2 linked regions of the Astyanax mexicanus genome follow. The protein of the gene in region 2 interacts with the protein of the main gene of each other region in a biochemical or structural test. Links are inferred from orthologs where the notes say so. Each region holds a gene or a part of one and is shown on either strand. Other genes may lie near its edges.

Evidence for each region. The genes of interacting proteins can lie anywhere in the genome.
Region 1: the proteins of NEDD4-like E3 ubiquitin-protein ligase WWP1 (region 2) and dvl2 form a complex in vitro, tested with the Homo sapiens proteins (2 studies listed by BioGRID, with this or other methods). The link is inferred for Astyanax mexicanus from reciprocal best matches to the Homo sapiens genes WWP1 and DVL2.

Annotation. Positions count from the first base shown.
Region 1 is NC_064415.1:18,700,790-18,708,239, forward strand, and holds the start of dvl2 (segment polarity protein dishevelled homolog DVL-2), read left to right. Parts: upstream 1-4,407; 5' UTR 4,408-4,904; coding exon 4,905-5,065; intron 5,066-7,450.
Region 2 is NC_064413.1:45,897,907-45,905,000, reverse strand, and holds the start of NEDD4-like E3 ubiquitin-protein ligase WWP1, read left to right. Parts: upstream 1-3,970; 5' UTR 3,971-4,018; intron 4,019-7,094. UniProt on the Homo sapiens protein: E3 ubiquitin-protein ligase which accepts ubiquitin from an E2 ubiquitin-conjugating enzyme in the form of a thioester and then directly transfers the ubiquitin to targeted substrates.

The sequences.
Region 1 (7,450 bases), on a different chromosome or scaffold from region 2:
ATATATATATCATCACATGTCCAAAGATAACATCACAGAAGGCATTACCATCCACAGTGGACAGCAGAGTGGGGGGCAATGATTGTGACTGATGGTGTCTGGAAAGAACTGTCTGTGGCAGGAATCACATACACATTCAATGCAGGATACTCCAAGGAAATGTCCCACATGTCAGTGTAAAACACTCCTTCAGCTTCCATTGGACATGGCAAAAGTCATGGGACAGAGTGCTATAGTTGCATGTCATTGTAATCCATGAAATTGTATTTGGTCACTATGTTTAGTAACTTTTCTGATTGAAATTAAAATTGAAATGACTGATAACCACATTAACATCCCTACATTATCTTTCTGGATAATTACCTGCACACTCTGTCTCACTGCAGGTTTGTTCCGGGGTTTTCTGAGAAACTAGTGCCAAGACACTGCTGTCAGTGTCAATCAACACACCTGTCTGACAACATCTGAAATGATATTACTATACCACTAGCCCTGGGCGATACCTAAACTCGCATTATCATTACCTCCACACTCCCAAACAAGAGACTAAAGGTTTATTAACATAACAATCCACCGTTTTAACTGTAAAAGGAAATAAAATACAGAATGTACGTATATTTTACATTATTATGAAAGCGATTTAAAGGTGCCATGGGATTAATTTAATGCACAATGCAATTGCAGTTACATTTTAGACAGATATCATTAAGCAATAATACACAAGAGGGAGTGCTATAATGTGTAATATTGGCATTGCTGTGCTGCAGTGCCAATATTACATGTTATAGCACTAACCTAGAGAGTATTATTGCAATTTTACCACAGTTCCATTATCTCTGTTCATTGCAAGACTTTGAGTTAAAGTGGATGAGAAAATACGATATGTTTGGTTATAAAAACTCAGCTAGTGTAAATAGTTCCAATGCTGCTCTGTGTGTAGCTACGCTGTTTGGCTTGTAAGCACTGTATCCGTGCTGGGTTACCTGCAGTGTTGCCAACTCCTCAGTAAGGAAAGTAGCTATTGGCTGTCCTAAAAGTCGCTAGAAGTCGCTAAATGACGTCATCACCTAATTTGCATAATACATGTTTTTGAAGCTGTAGGATTAGGGTTTTGGGAGAGAAAAAAGTGAGTAAAAACACCATAAATGTGTTAGAAATGTTACAAATGAACAACTTCTGTTGCTTTTTAAATAGGACGTCACTTTTTACAATAACTTCATTTTTACGTTTTTTGCCATGTTCTTAAATGTTATTATAAGAGCAGCCGGAACTGTTATTCTACGTTTTTGTTTTTTTAATTTTTTTTCAGAAGTATAAATATTAATGTGTCTTCAGTGTGACACGAACAGAAATCCCTTAATCTAACTCACACAGTCTCAAGGTGCTTACACACTGAACGCGGTATGCCGCGCGGCATTCCGCTGTGCTGCCGCTCTGCTCTACGCTGGTCAGTTGCGGGTGCGTTGCGCTGCTGCTGACGCCAAGCGTCTCCTGCTGATAATAGGCGGAGTTTTCTAAAACCCATCACCTCTGCGAGCGGTGTTTTGTAGTTTTGAGTCTCTACAGCCTCTGTGGATCTGTATATGTTTCTCAGCCTCAGAACAAAGCTCTGATTCTTCTCTTCCTCCTGTTATCTCTATATGAGTGTAGGGAAGTGATGTACAGCTGAGGGGATTCACTAATCGCTATTATTAGTCTCTCGCGCACGTTTATTGTTGTTTGGACTACAGTTTCTCTCTAGTCGCGTGAGTTCATGTCATGCGTTTTCTGCCGAGGTACCGCTTGCCGCGAGGTCAAAGTTGAACCATGTTGAACTTTGCCCGCGGTAAGCGGTAGCGCGGTGGAGGCGTGGTTATGGGCGGGGAAACGCGCCGCTTTCCGCTCTGCTCCGCGGCAGCGACGCACCACTCTACCGCTCTAGACACTATTGAATCCTATGGGGGTCAGCGTACCGCGCCGCACCTACCGCGTGCAGTGTGTAAGCACCTTCAGTCATTCACTCACCTCATTCACCACATAGCCTGTCACTCACCTCCTCCACAGTGTCTGCCTCTTTATATAAAAGCTAAATATCTATTGAACCATTGAACAATTTGTCTATGATTCAATAGATATTTAGCTTTTTTTTTTTTTAGGATTTCTGTTCGTGTCACACTGAAGACACATTAATATTTATACTTCTGCTCTGTAAATACAGAGCGGGGTCAGTCAGCGGCGGCTGTGGGCACGCGCGATTCATTTAAACAGTGTGTTGGTGGAGCGGTGTGTGTGTGTGCTCTGAGTGTGAGAGAGTGTGGGTCTGTACTGTGAGTGGTGTGGGGCGGGGCTCCCGGCAGCGCCCCCTGCAGCGCGGAGGACAGGAACTGAAGTGCGCGTGTTCATCTCAGAGTCGCCAAAAGTCTCCAATAACACCACAAAAACTCGCTAGATTTGTCGCTAGTCGCTTTTTTACAAAAAAGTCGCTAGAGGGTCTGAAAAGTCGCTAAATATAGCGACAAAGTCGCTAAGTTGGCAACACTGGTTACCTGTATGTGGCAGAGGAATACATGGAGAACTTCGGTTACAGCACATTACCAATCACATTGCAGGGTCGGAACTAACTGTGGTATAATAACGTTTATAGGTGTGGTCTGAAAAGGCCCTCAGAGGCTGTGTTCAGGTAGTGTACCTCAGCCAGACTGCAATGCTTGCTTCCAGATTTATCACCAATTAAGCCATTATAGGACCACCAGGGACACCAGCTTTAGCTATCTATAAGTGAATCTACAAGTTCAGCTGCAATATCTGTGTGCAAATGTGCTGCAGGATGGTTAAAGAACCTGTATGCCTCCGTGCCCAAACATATCTCATCTTTTAATCCAGACTAGAGGCGGCCCAAGAGATTTCTAGACCCTACTTTACATTTACGTTTCCCCTAATAAATTTATCTTTTTTCTCTAATATTGTAATCACTTAGATATATCAAAAGTAAAACGCAAAAACATATATGAAGTTCTTATGGAGTTGTAATGCAGAAACATCTTCCAGCTCAGGGCATATGGAGGTCTGACTTCCCCAACCCCCCTCACATGAAACATTATGGTTTTTGATGGCTGTATGCCTTAAGGACTGAAGTGGATGTTAAAGACATTTGCCAAATTCGCTGAATGCTAAATCAGCCTAACTGCTCTGTAGAGAGTACAGTACAGTCTAAAGAAAAAGGCATGGTCAACCTAAACTTACATGTTTTTCTTTCATTCTCTGCTTATTTTTGTGTGTTAAACACTTTGGTACTCTTTGCTTAAATTAGATTTAACCTAAAACACTAACTAGGAGGGTCTGATACATGACAACCTGCCAGGACTCACTGAGCTGAACTACGAAAAACAAGATGACAAACAAAAAGGGTTTAATGTGACAGTGAACTGACAAATAGTGTTCATTAACTATTAATCAAACAAAGCTATTAAGCCACAACATTTCCATGTGCATGATAAAACCTTTTGTGTGAGTAAACACACAAAAAATTCTCCCTTATTGCACCCAGATTGCTGCACAAGTCAGCATGGAGTTACTTCTCAGACAGACATAAACCAATTACAGGTTTGGTCTGAAAAGGCTGTCAGAGGCTGTGTTTAGGTAGTGTACCTCTTGGTGAGAGAATGTTGACTACTAGACATGCCTCTACAACTCACTTCAAGACATTTTGCCAAGCTGTCTCAGCCAGAATGCAGAGAGCATTTATGGGACCATCTGCAACACCAGCTTCACCAACTCACCAGCTTCAGGCAAACTCTGTCCCAAACCCAAAATCCCAAACTCTGTTTCAAACCAAAATCCCAAACCAAAATCCCCAAACCCCTAACCCTGTCCCAAACCAAAATCCCCAAACCCCTAACCCTGTCCCAAAACAAAATCCAAACCCAAACCAAAATCCCCAAACCCTTAACCCCGTCCCAATCCCAAACCAAAATCCCAAACCCCTAACCCTGTCCCAAACCAAAACCCAAACCAAAATCCCCAAACCCCTAACCCTGTCCCAATCCCAAACCAAAATCCCAAAACCCCTAACCCTGTCCCAAACCAAAATCCCCAAACCCCTAACCCTGTCCCAAACCAAAATCCCCAAACCCCTAACCCTGTCCCAAACCAAAATCCCCTAACCCTGTCCCAAACCAAAATCCAAACCCAAACCAAAATCCCAAACACCTAACTCTGTCCCAATCCCAAACCAAAATCCCAAACTCTGTTCCAAACCCAAAATTTCTAACTCTTTCCCAAACCCAAACCAAAATCACAAACTCTGTCCCAAACTCAAAATTTCTAACTCTTTTCCAAATCCAACCCAAGATCCCAAACTCTGTCCCAAACCCCTAACCCATGCCTGTTCCTCGGGTGAGCAGGACCCTCCCTGGCTGGGCTGACGTCACGCGCCGCGTTGGCCTTCACTGGAGAGGAGTTTGAAACTCCGCCGTGTTGTTGTTGGAGGAAAAGCAGCGGCTGCAGGAGAGCAGAGAGAGCAGAGCTGAGCTGAGTGCGGGTGTGATTTGTGCAGCCGGGCGCTTTTTTAAGGGTTTAGCTGATTGTTTTGAGTTAGTTTAGGAGGAGAAAGGGAAATGTTGGGGATATAGAGGCAGTGGAGGTGGGCTGGGGGCCGTTGGAGCTTTTTTTTGTTGGTTAAAAGTTTATGCTCGCTTGCTTGGAAACGCTGGGTAAAGTTAGCCTGAGACTCCAGTCTGCTCCAGTCGACCCCCTCCACCACCTCCTCCCTCCTCCCTCCTCCTCCTCCTTCTTCTCCTCCTCCTCCTCTTCTTCTCGTTAGCTGGGCTACCCCTAGCGTTAGCCAGTTAGCTAGCTAACCTAGCTAGCCTCCCAGCCTCTTCCATAGTTTAGAGGATCCAGAGGGGGAAAGTAGAGGAGAAAGAATGGCGGAGACTAAAATAATTTATCACATCGATGAAGAGGAGACGCCGTACTTGGTGAAGATTCCCATACCGGCGGAGAAAATCACTCTGCTGGATTTTAAACAGGTCCTAAACAAGCCGAACTACAAATTCTTCTTCAAGTCTATGGATCAGGACTTCGGGTGAGTGAGGGAAGGAGGGAGGGATAGAGGAGTGGGGGCTCTGCAGGAATGGGTTGCCATGCAAATGATGTGGCCGAGAGGAAGAAAAGTTCTTATAAAAACTTTAAAAAGTTAGAAAAAGTTTACATTCCTCGCTCCCGTTGTAGATTATGGCTCCACACGCCTTGTTGAGCTGAAGGATGAACTTTTTAACAGTTTCTTCTAAAGGAAAAGTTGACAGTTAGGCTGACTGTTAACAACAGCGTCCAGGTTTATAAGCTAGGTTAGCTAACCTACTGCATTGTTCAAGGTAGCGTTAGGTTAGCACACTATCAGTTAAATCAGACTCCGCCGGATAAAAAAACAAAGACACGCACAGAGGATTTAACATTTTTAAACATTTTAATGCATCTAAAATTAGATAAAGCTGTTTTAGCTAAATGTATGATAGTTCTCCTCCTGACCAAGCTAACCCAGCTAGCGTTAGGTAGCTGCTTATCCTAGTTGAATGTCAGGCCCACCAAAGTACAGCATAACTGGTTAACTAATTTAACGTTACTTGTTAACTAACTAAGCTAACGTTACGTAAATAAAATCCAAACTCAAGCCAGCTAAATCATGAATCATCATGGGCTATGTCAAGCCCTTTTAGTCCTAACTCAGTTTTTACACTCTGTAAAGCATTTTAAAACTAGTTAACGTTACTCTTATTTCAGGTATCATCTATAACATTTTTACAATTCTGACAATTCATGTTACCAGGACAACATATCCATAATATACTTTATTATATACTATTATACTAATATACTTTACCAATAGTTCCAGTTTTTACTAATAAAATCTTCAGTTACAGATATCTATAATTATTTTTTTTACTAGTAATTTACTAGTTACACTTTCAGGTATCGTCTATAAGTTAGCTAGCATTTTTACAATTCTGACAAAAGTCATGTTATCAGGACAACATATCCATAATATACTTTTGACTAGTCAGAGTCATCTCTTACCTATAGTTCCAGTTTTTATTACTAAAATCTTTAGTTACAGATATCTTTTGATATATATATATATATTTATTTATTTTTTACAATTAATTTATTAGTTACACTTTCAGCTATCCTCTATAACCTAGCTAAAATGTTTACAATTATGACAAAAGTCATGTTATCAGGACAACATATCCATAATATACTTTTGACTAGTCAGTCATCTCTTACATTTGGTTACAGTTCTTACAACTACAATCTTTAGGCTTTAACTATTGTTTTTACTAGTTATTTATTAGTTAAGTTACACTTTCAGGAACCGTCTATAAGCAAGCTAATATCTTTACAATTCTCACAAAAGTTATGTTACCAGGACAACATATCCATAACATATCCATAATGTTCAAAAAAAGTCCAAAAGTTGTAATTTCAGACATCTGCAATAATTCTCACTTGTAACAAGTATAGGTCCATATATCTGTAATAGGGCGTTATTATTTTAGGGCGACATGGCCTTAAAATAATATCATGATTTTTTTAGGGTATTTTTGCAGTAACAATATTCTTGCTGTTATGACAAAACATTGACAAATAAAACAAAATGTCAAGAATACACAACTGCAACAAAGTAAATGTTAAATTATATTTGGAAATATTATTGCATACGCTGTGATATGGAAGATCCCTGTTATCTAATTGTAACAGAAGTCAATGATCCAACATGTCATGTCACTAATAATGCATTCCTCTGTTCAGGATTGAAGTAAAATAAATTATATGGACATATTAAATACACTTTTTAATGGCAAATGAGAACAGTGTGAATTTTCCTTTTGGTACAAACAGCATGCTGTACGAACAGCATGGCCCAAATGTCCCTAAACTAATATGATATTTCAGGGTATTGTTGCAATAACACTATTCACAAAAGTTGGCGATGTTATTGCGTACAAAACAATATGCTACACTTCTAATTGTACATATCTGTAACTGTTTTTTTATTGGTACAAATGTAAGTAAAGATACGAGAGAGTAAAATTCCATATAAAGCAGTGGTATCCTGTGACTAGTCAAAATTGCATTAAGGAAATATGGTCCTTCTCATGTGATTTGTCAAAGTGGCTTCATAGATCTGAAGATATGATATTATTTCTAGTAAGAAAAAAAATAAAAGCTGATCTGAGAAATTATACTTTCTACTAGTAAAAACTGTATTACAGAGATCTGTACTTGTAAGTTAAAACTTTATATTATTTGTGTCATCAAAATCTGAGTTCTCTTAGTTAAATGTCAGTCCCACCAAAGTGCAGTGTACATATTTTTTTGCATTGTTAACTCTAAACTGCAAACAAGAACCCGTTTAGAGACATTTAAGTAGTTTAACACAGATTTTTCTTCTGCTTCTGAAAGACAAAAA
Region 2 (7,094 bases):
CATGCCAGTACAGAAGGAACATGAGTGACAAAAAAAGTGTCTTAAAATGAGTGAAGTAACACCTAAATCAAGCAAAAAAGTCACTGTTTTTGGAAACAAGAATCAGAATAACTTGATTGCTGCTTGATTGTGCTTATTGTTAGTTCAAATTACTTAAAATATGGTACAAATTCTAAGTAACAATAATTAAGATAATTATCTCTAAAATAAGCAAAATAATCTAACACTTACAATGCTTAGTAAGACAAAAAGTCTTATCAGAGAAGATAATAAGATTTATTGCCTTAAATTTACTTGCTAAGAGTTTTTTGCAGTGTGGTTGAATTGAGAGTTACACTTTCTGACTTTAGGGGAAGCCAAGGAGCAAGAAATGCCAAATTCTCTATAATGCTGCTTTAAAAGGAAGAGCTTTTTTAAATATTAGGTAACATCTGGTATAAGTTCAGGATCAACAAGCTAATAATTAAAGATGATTTCTTTTATACATTGCTTCATTGTCATCTACAGGAATGCTGGAAATGGAAATGAAAGACCCATTCTACGAAACCCATTCAACATCTCACTCAGTTGGATGGAGGAAGAGTCTCACTTGTCTTCTTCTTCCACCGATAAAAAGGGGGGGAGCAGATCATCGTCTGTAATCCACAAAGGTCTAGAGGAAGTCTCCGCCTGACTCCTCTTCCTCTTCCTCTTCAATCGATGAAGAGTTTGGAGAGCAGAACGACTCTTTAAGAGAGAGGAAGACATTGGGTTGTTTGTAGGTAGTTAATCAGCTGCAGTCTGATTTGTGGTCTGATTTCAGAAGTAACACCAATACACATAGCCTGCCAGTCAGTTAGAAGAAGAATGAAGAAGCTCCTCAGGAGAAACATTGTGGTGCATCTCTTCTTCTGCTGATTGGTCTGCTTCATACACAGAAGCTCCTGCATGCTCACATTCTGATCAGGTGGTGGAATCTGAATCTGTGAAGCCACAGCTCACACTGAAGCAGACACTCAGGGGGCTGAGACTCCTAAAATTTAAGGTATGTGAATATTAAGTTATCCATATTTTATACTCTTCAAATCACTTTGAAATTCTCATTTGTTAAATCTTTGTTATTAAGAAGTCTACAAGGGTCCATCCCATGTAGACATCCTCCACAGCTAAAAAAGTAATTAAATACCACAGTTCTGCTCCATGGGCGAGTGGTGGAAGCAGAAACTGTGCTCCCACAGCCCACAGTAATGCAGGAATCCAGAATGAGACTGAGGCTTCTGACTGAGTACACTGAGTAGTTCAGCTTAAAGGTATGTTAGATAAGGTATTTAATGTATTTATTTGTAAGGTATGTTTTTCCTTTCATTCACAATTGATGACCATTGAGAAATCTCTATACCCTATATATGATGGTCAATTACAGTTTAATTATACAATTATAGTTCTTCAGCGTTCTGTTTAGACTGTGCACATTAAGCCCTGTTAGTAGGTGACATTTGCGAGAGCACCAAGGATTGAACCCAGAGGTGAATTTAACCTAAAAGCAGATTGACCCTGGAAGAGCTATCTGTCAGCTTCTGTCTGTCTGGTGTCCACCAGAGAAGGATGGGATCCTCTTCTGAGCCGTGTTTCCTCTCAAGGTTTCTTCCTCTTAATCTGAGGGAGTTTTTCCTTGCCCCTGTTGCTCAGAAAAGGTTTGGACTCAAATTGAATTATTGATGTTTTCATCAGTTTTGTGCTTCATCAATGTTGTCTAGAAGAGGCATTTTGACTTACTGACTGACTGATGAACTATGTTAAAATGTTAGTATGAGGCTTCGGATGCTCCAGCGGACGAAGGTGCTGCCACTATGATCAGAAAATTGCTGGTTTGAATCCCGGTCATGCATCTCGCCATCAGCTATCAGAGTCCAGAGAGAGCACTGGGTGGCATGGTGTCGGTTAGCAGATGTATCGGAGCCATATATATTAGCCACATGAACCTATAATCTAGTGATTTTTTTTTTGAGGCAATGAGCTACAGGTCAGTATTTAGCCTGCTCTCTACAGCAGCATTATGCAGGAATTAGTCATAATTACTCCAGCTAAAAAAAAAAAGTTTACTCATTTCATGTCATTTTTAAAAGGAATGTAATAAAATGAGAGTGAGACTGAAGCAGAGTAAACACAGGGCTGAATGGTGGATTTACTCTGGTCAGTTTAAATTTTGAAAAAAAAGTGTAATGGAAAGGAATTCTCTCTGACTTAGTTGTTTATTGATGTATTCATTCTTCTGCGTTTCCTTTCCTTTTACTTTTGTTTTCCGTTTTCTGTGACATGCCTTGATAATATACAGTTATGTTCAGTTATGTAATATGTAGTTGTGTTTACATACAGTGCTGTGAAAAAGTATCTGCCCCCTACTGATTTATATTGAATATTATACATATTTTTTTCAGATGAACAAACATATTTTAATATACATGAGTAAATATAAAAAACACTTTTTAAATGATAATTATATTTATTAAAGGAAAAAAAGCATTTGCCCCCTAAACCTAATAGCTTGGTTGTGCCACCCTTGGCGGCAAAAACTGCAATCAAGCGCTGGTGATAATTGTCTTTCAGAGTCATCTCTGTGGAAGAATTTTGGCTTACTCTACATGGAAAATTGTTTTAATCACATTGGAGGATTTTTGAGCATGAACAGCCTGTTTAAGATCATGCCACAGCATCTCAATCAGACTTTGACTAGGCCTCTCCAAAAACTTAATTTTGAGCCATTTAGTGGACTTGCTCTTGTGCTTCGGACCATTGTCCTGCTGCAGAACCCAAGTAGGGCTGAGAATTTTTGATCAGCAGAGGTTTTTGCCTTGGAACTCTCCCATGGATACCCAGTCTCTTTCTTTTTATTAGATCATTAACACTGCCTTTAACTGAGACAAGACCTTAACACTTTTAATTCTTTACACAATAATTCCTCATGTGATCCTGTATAGCTTTAATGTCTTCAATATTAAATTTACAATGTAAAAAAAAACACATTGGGCTCTATTGTACCTATCTGTATGCAGCTAAAGGCATGTACTAATTTTCTTAATTATTTATGGTTATGTTTTAAGCATAATGTAAAATAAACCAATCACTCTGTCTCTTGCCATTCCCTCTGACTTTGGCCGATGGCGTATCGCTTCTGTGCTTCTTTGCAGATGTGTGACCAGGTCATTTTTCAGGGACAGCAATGTTATTTTATTGTGTGTTTTGTTTATTGTTGATGTAAAAGTTGAGTCTGTGCTCTGTTGTGTGACTTGCGTGTGTGTGTAATGCATGCCGTTGAGCATGCACAGCACACCTGCATTGCCAAGATAGCAATGAGCATGTTGACTGTTGTCAGAGTTTAATCAGTAAGTGGCGCACCTATGTTTTTCACTGCCAAGATAGCAACATGACAGAAATTTACAGAAATGTGATATATTTGTAAACTCCGTCACTATTTAAACAGTACAGGGCTGTTGGCGTGGTGTATGATAGCACAAAACTCACCTTGCACAGGGTGTAAAATAGGACCCATTAAATGAGAAATGAGAAGAGGTGTGTCCAAACCACTGACTGGTACTGTAAGTAGGTAAGTAAGGTGGAGAACAAGATTTGCCCTTTGGACTTAGTTGAAGTAATAACTTCAATATTTTTGTTGAATGTTGAAGTTATAAGAGATACTAAGTTACATGGTTCTTTAAATTACGTCATTGGACGTGTGGAGGGGTTTCTCTGCGGTGTGTGAATCTGGATATCAGAGAGAGAGAAAGAGAGAGGGAGAGAGAGACAGACAGACACAGGGAGAGAGAGAGAGAGAGAGAGAGAGAGAGAGAGAGAGAGAGAGAGAGAGAGAGAGAGAGAGAGAGAGAGAGAGAGATGGTCAGACCAATGACTGTATAGCTCTGCCTGTCCAGCTTTGGAGAACAGACACACACACTGCTACAGAAGCAGTAGCAGAAACAGCTCAGCAGGAAAACACACTGACTGCGACCTCTCCGCTGAGAGGAGGAGGGCGACGGACTGTGTGAGTTTATATTTATTACACAGCTCTGATTTGTTTGTTTGCTTGTTTGGATGTTGTGTAGCTGCTGCTGATGTTGTTATTTGTATTGGAGGGGTTTTAACAGCTAACCCGGGATTGCCCTGGTAGTTATATGGTATTGTAGCTAGGTTAGCTAGCTAGCTAGCTTGTTATAAGCTGCGTTCACAGCTTCGGCAAGTATTTCTTCATGTTTATTTTATTAAGCTAACAAAGGTCAGCTGTTGTGGCTTACACACACACTTTAGTACACACTCTAACACACCTTCACACACACTCTCAGTGCAGTTTGAGTAAAAATGGCGGTCACTAGTGCAAGGCCCTGCCGATTTGTGCGAGGTTTATGTTGGTTTTTAGTGGAATTATCCGTTCCACCTTAAATGGTGTAGCAGTTGAATGCTGCAAATGCTGATCTGACAGAATGGAGCGGATGCACCGTTTTAAGGTGGAACGGATTCCGCTAAATCCGAGCAAATGAGCTAGGAAGCTAACCTAGGTTCAGTTTTAAAGGCTGTGACTTGTGACAGTAACATATTAAATGGTTTTGACAAACATCTGGATATAATTAAACAAAGCATGAGCAAAATTAGACAAAATAAAGCTAGGTTAGGTCATTAGATTAGCTAACTGTTAGCTAATAAACAAACATAGATAGCTAGCTAGCCAACTGTCTGTGCCTGCCTTTAGCCTAGCTTAGCTTAGCTTAGCTGATATGAAAAAGCTACGAAATAGCTAGCTAGCTAACTACTTAACTAAGCTAGATAAGTTAAATCGTCTCGGTTGTTTTGTGAGCATTGCCTAGTTGACAAACTAATTCTCCCCACATTAAGGTTAACTAGCTAACTTTGGGTTGGTGGGTGAAGTGACAGCTGTTTATTTAACGTTTGACTTTTTTAAGACGTTAGAGTACCCCTAACGATCTAGCTAGCAACGTTAGCATATCACAGGGCTACGCTAACTTAGCTTAGCTTGCTTAGCTAGTTACCGGTAATAAACAAAATTTGAGTTCACTGGCTGCTGAGGAAATGTATAACTTAACTGTTTTTTACAAGACAGTAAAAGGTTGGTGACCTTCTTGACACTTAATTTTAGAATTAATTAAACAGGTAATTTTAGCAAAGTTTATATTTTTTACAGTGCTAGTAACATGACTTGGACTTATGGACTTAGCTAATTATATATGTGAATTTTAGACTGTTTTTGAGTCTGTTGGATGTACACTTAAACTAAAGATCAGATCATAAGCAGAACATACAGCTAAATATAATGTCTAGTCTTAAATGGAGCCAAAATGTGGGGTAATAAGCTGACTTTTGCAGCAACTGGTGCATCCTGCTGCTGTATGTGTGTGTGTGTGTGTGTGTGTGTGTGTGTGCTTAGGCCAGCACTGAAGCGTAGGACTAGAGGTTAATCGAATACATTTTATTTACCAAATTATTGTTTTAATGCAATTGAATGGGATAATTGAGATTGTACATTTTTATATATAGAAGCTGGCAAAGAGATTTTTATAGATAGACACTTTCTTCTGAAGGCTTTTATGGAGCAGTGATTTCCATATTTTAAACTCCATTATGTGGTTTTGCTAAGTGTGTGACATGCGGTATAATGGCAAATGTTCATATCACTTCCATGTCCACAAGTGTATGAAACCAAGCACCTAGACATTAAGACTGAATCTATTAACATTAGTAAAAGAATGGGCAGCTTTCAGGAGCTCAGTGGATGCCAACATGGTATCGTGATAAAATGCCCCCTATGCAACAAGCCCAGTTAATTTTCTAATTACTAAATATTCCACAGTCAACTGTCAGTGATATAACAAAGTGGAAGCAACTAGGAATGACAGCAACTCTAACTGTAAAAGGCAATGTAAAAAATCAGAGCCGCAGCAAACACTGAGGTGCATGGTGCGCATTCAGTCTCTACAGACCTATAAAGACCTCTTATCAGTAAGAGTCCATGAGCTGCTTAGGGCCCCAGGATGCGATTCCAACCTATCTAACAACTTCACAACGCAAGAACTTGAACTGGTAATCCAATGCCTGAAGACTGGCAAGGCACCAGGCATAGACGGCATCCATTCTGAGTACATAAAACACCAAGGCAAGAAAGCAACTGACTGGCTCTGTTCCTTTCTCTCTGCATGCCTCCGGTACTTAAAGCTGCCCAAGATCTGGCGTTGTGCAAAGGTGATAGCCCTCCCGAAACCGAACAAGCCAAGCGATGACCCAAAGGGATACCGGCCCATCTCACTTCTGTGTGTTCCTTACAAGCTTCTTGAGCGTCTCGTCCTGGCACGCCTCACCCCAGTGATTGACCCCCAGTTGCCCAAAGAACAAGCTGGTTTCCGAAGTGGCAGATCAACAACAGATCAGGTGACCCTCCTGTGCCACGACATAGAGGAAAGCTTTCAGGCAGGTGAGAAAGCTGGTGCTGTTTTCCTGGACCTCACAGCTGCATATGACACGGTCTGGCTGCGTGGGCTACATATGAAGCTTCTGGATACCATCCCAGACAAGCATATGGTGAGCTTCATCATGGAGATGCTAAGCAACCGCAGCTTCCGACTACACACCAGCAATGACCAAAGCAGTAGGATGAGAAGGCTCAGGAACGGCGTCCCACAGGGTTCAGTGCTGGCCCCAATGCTGTTTAACATCTACATCCATGACCTCCCCTTAACAACATCCCGGAAGTACAGCTATGCAGATGACCTGGCCATCTTATTCAGCAATCGATCCTGGGAAGCAGTAGAGGAGGGCCTCTCCAAGGACATGGAGATCTTGTGCTCCTACTTGAAGAACTGGCGCCTCAAGCTCAGTGTCGATAAGACTGTCACAACAATGTTCCACCTCTACAACAAGGATGCAACCCGCAAGATCAACATCACAGCTGATAATGTGCAGCTACAATCCGAACCCTCCCCGACGTACCTCGGAGTGAAGCTAGACAGAACACTGTCCTTTAAGCAACACCTGGACTGCGTCAAGGCAAAAACCACTGCCCGTGCTGCACTGATACGGCGTCTCGCTGGCACTACGTGGGGAGCTGACACAAA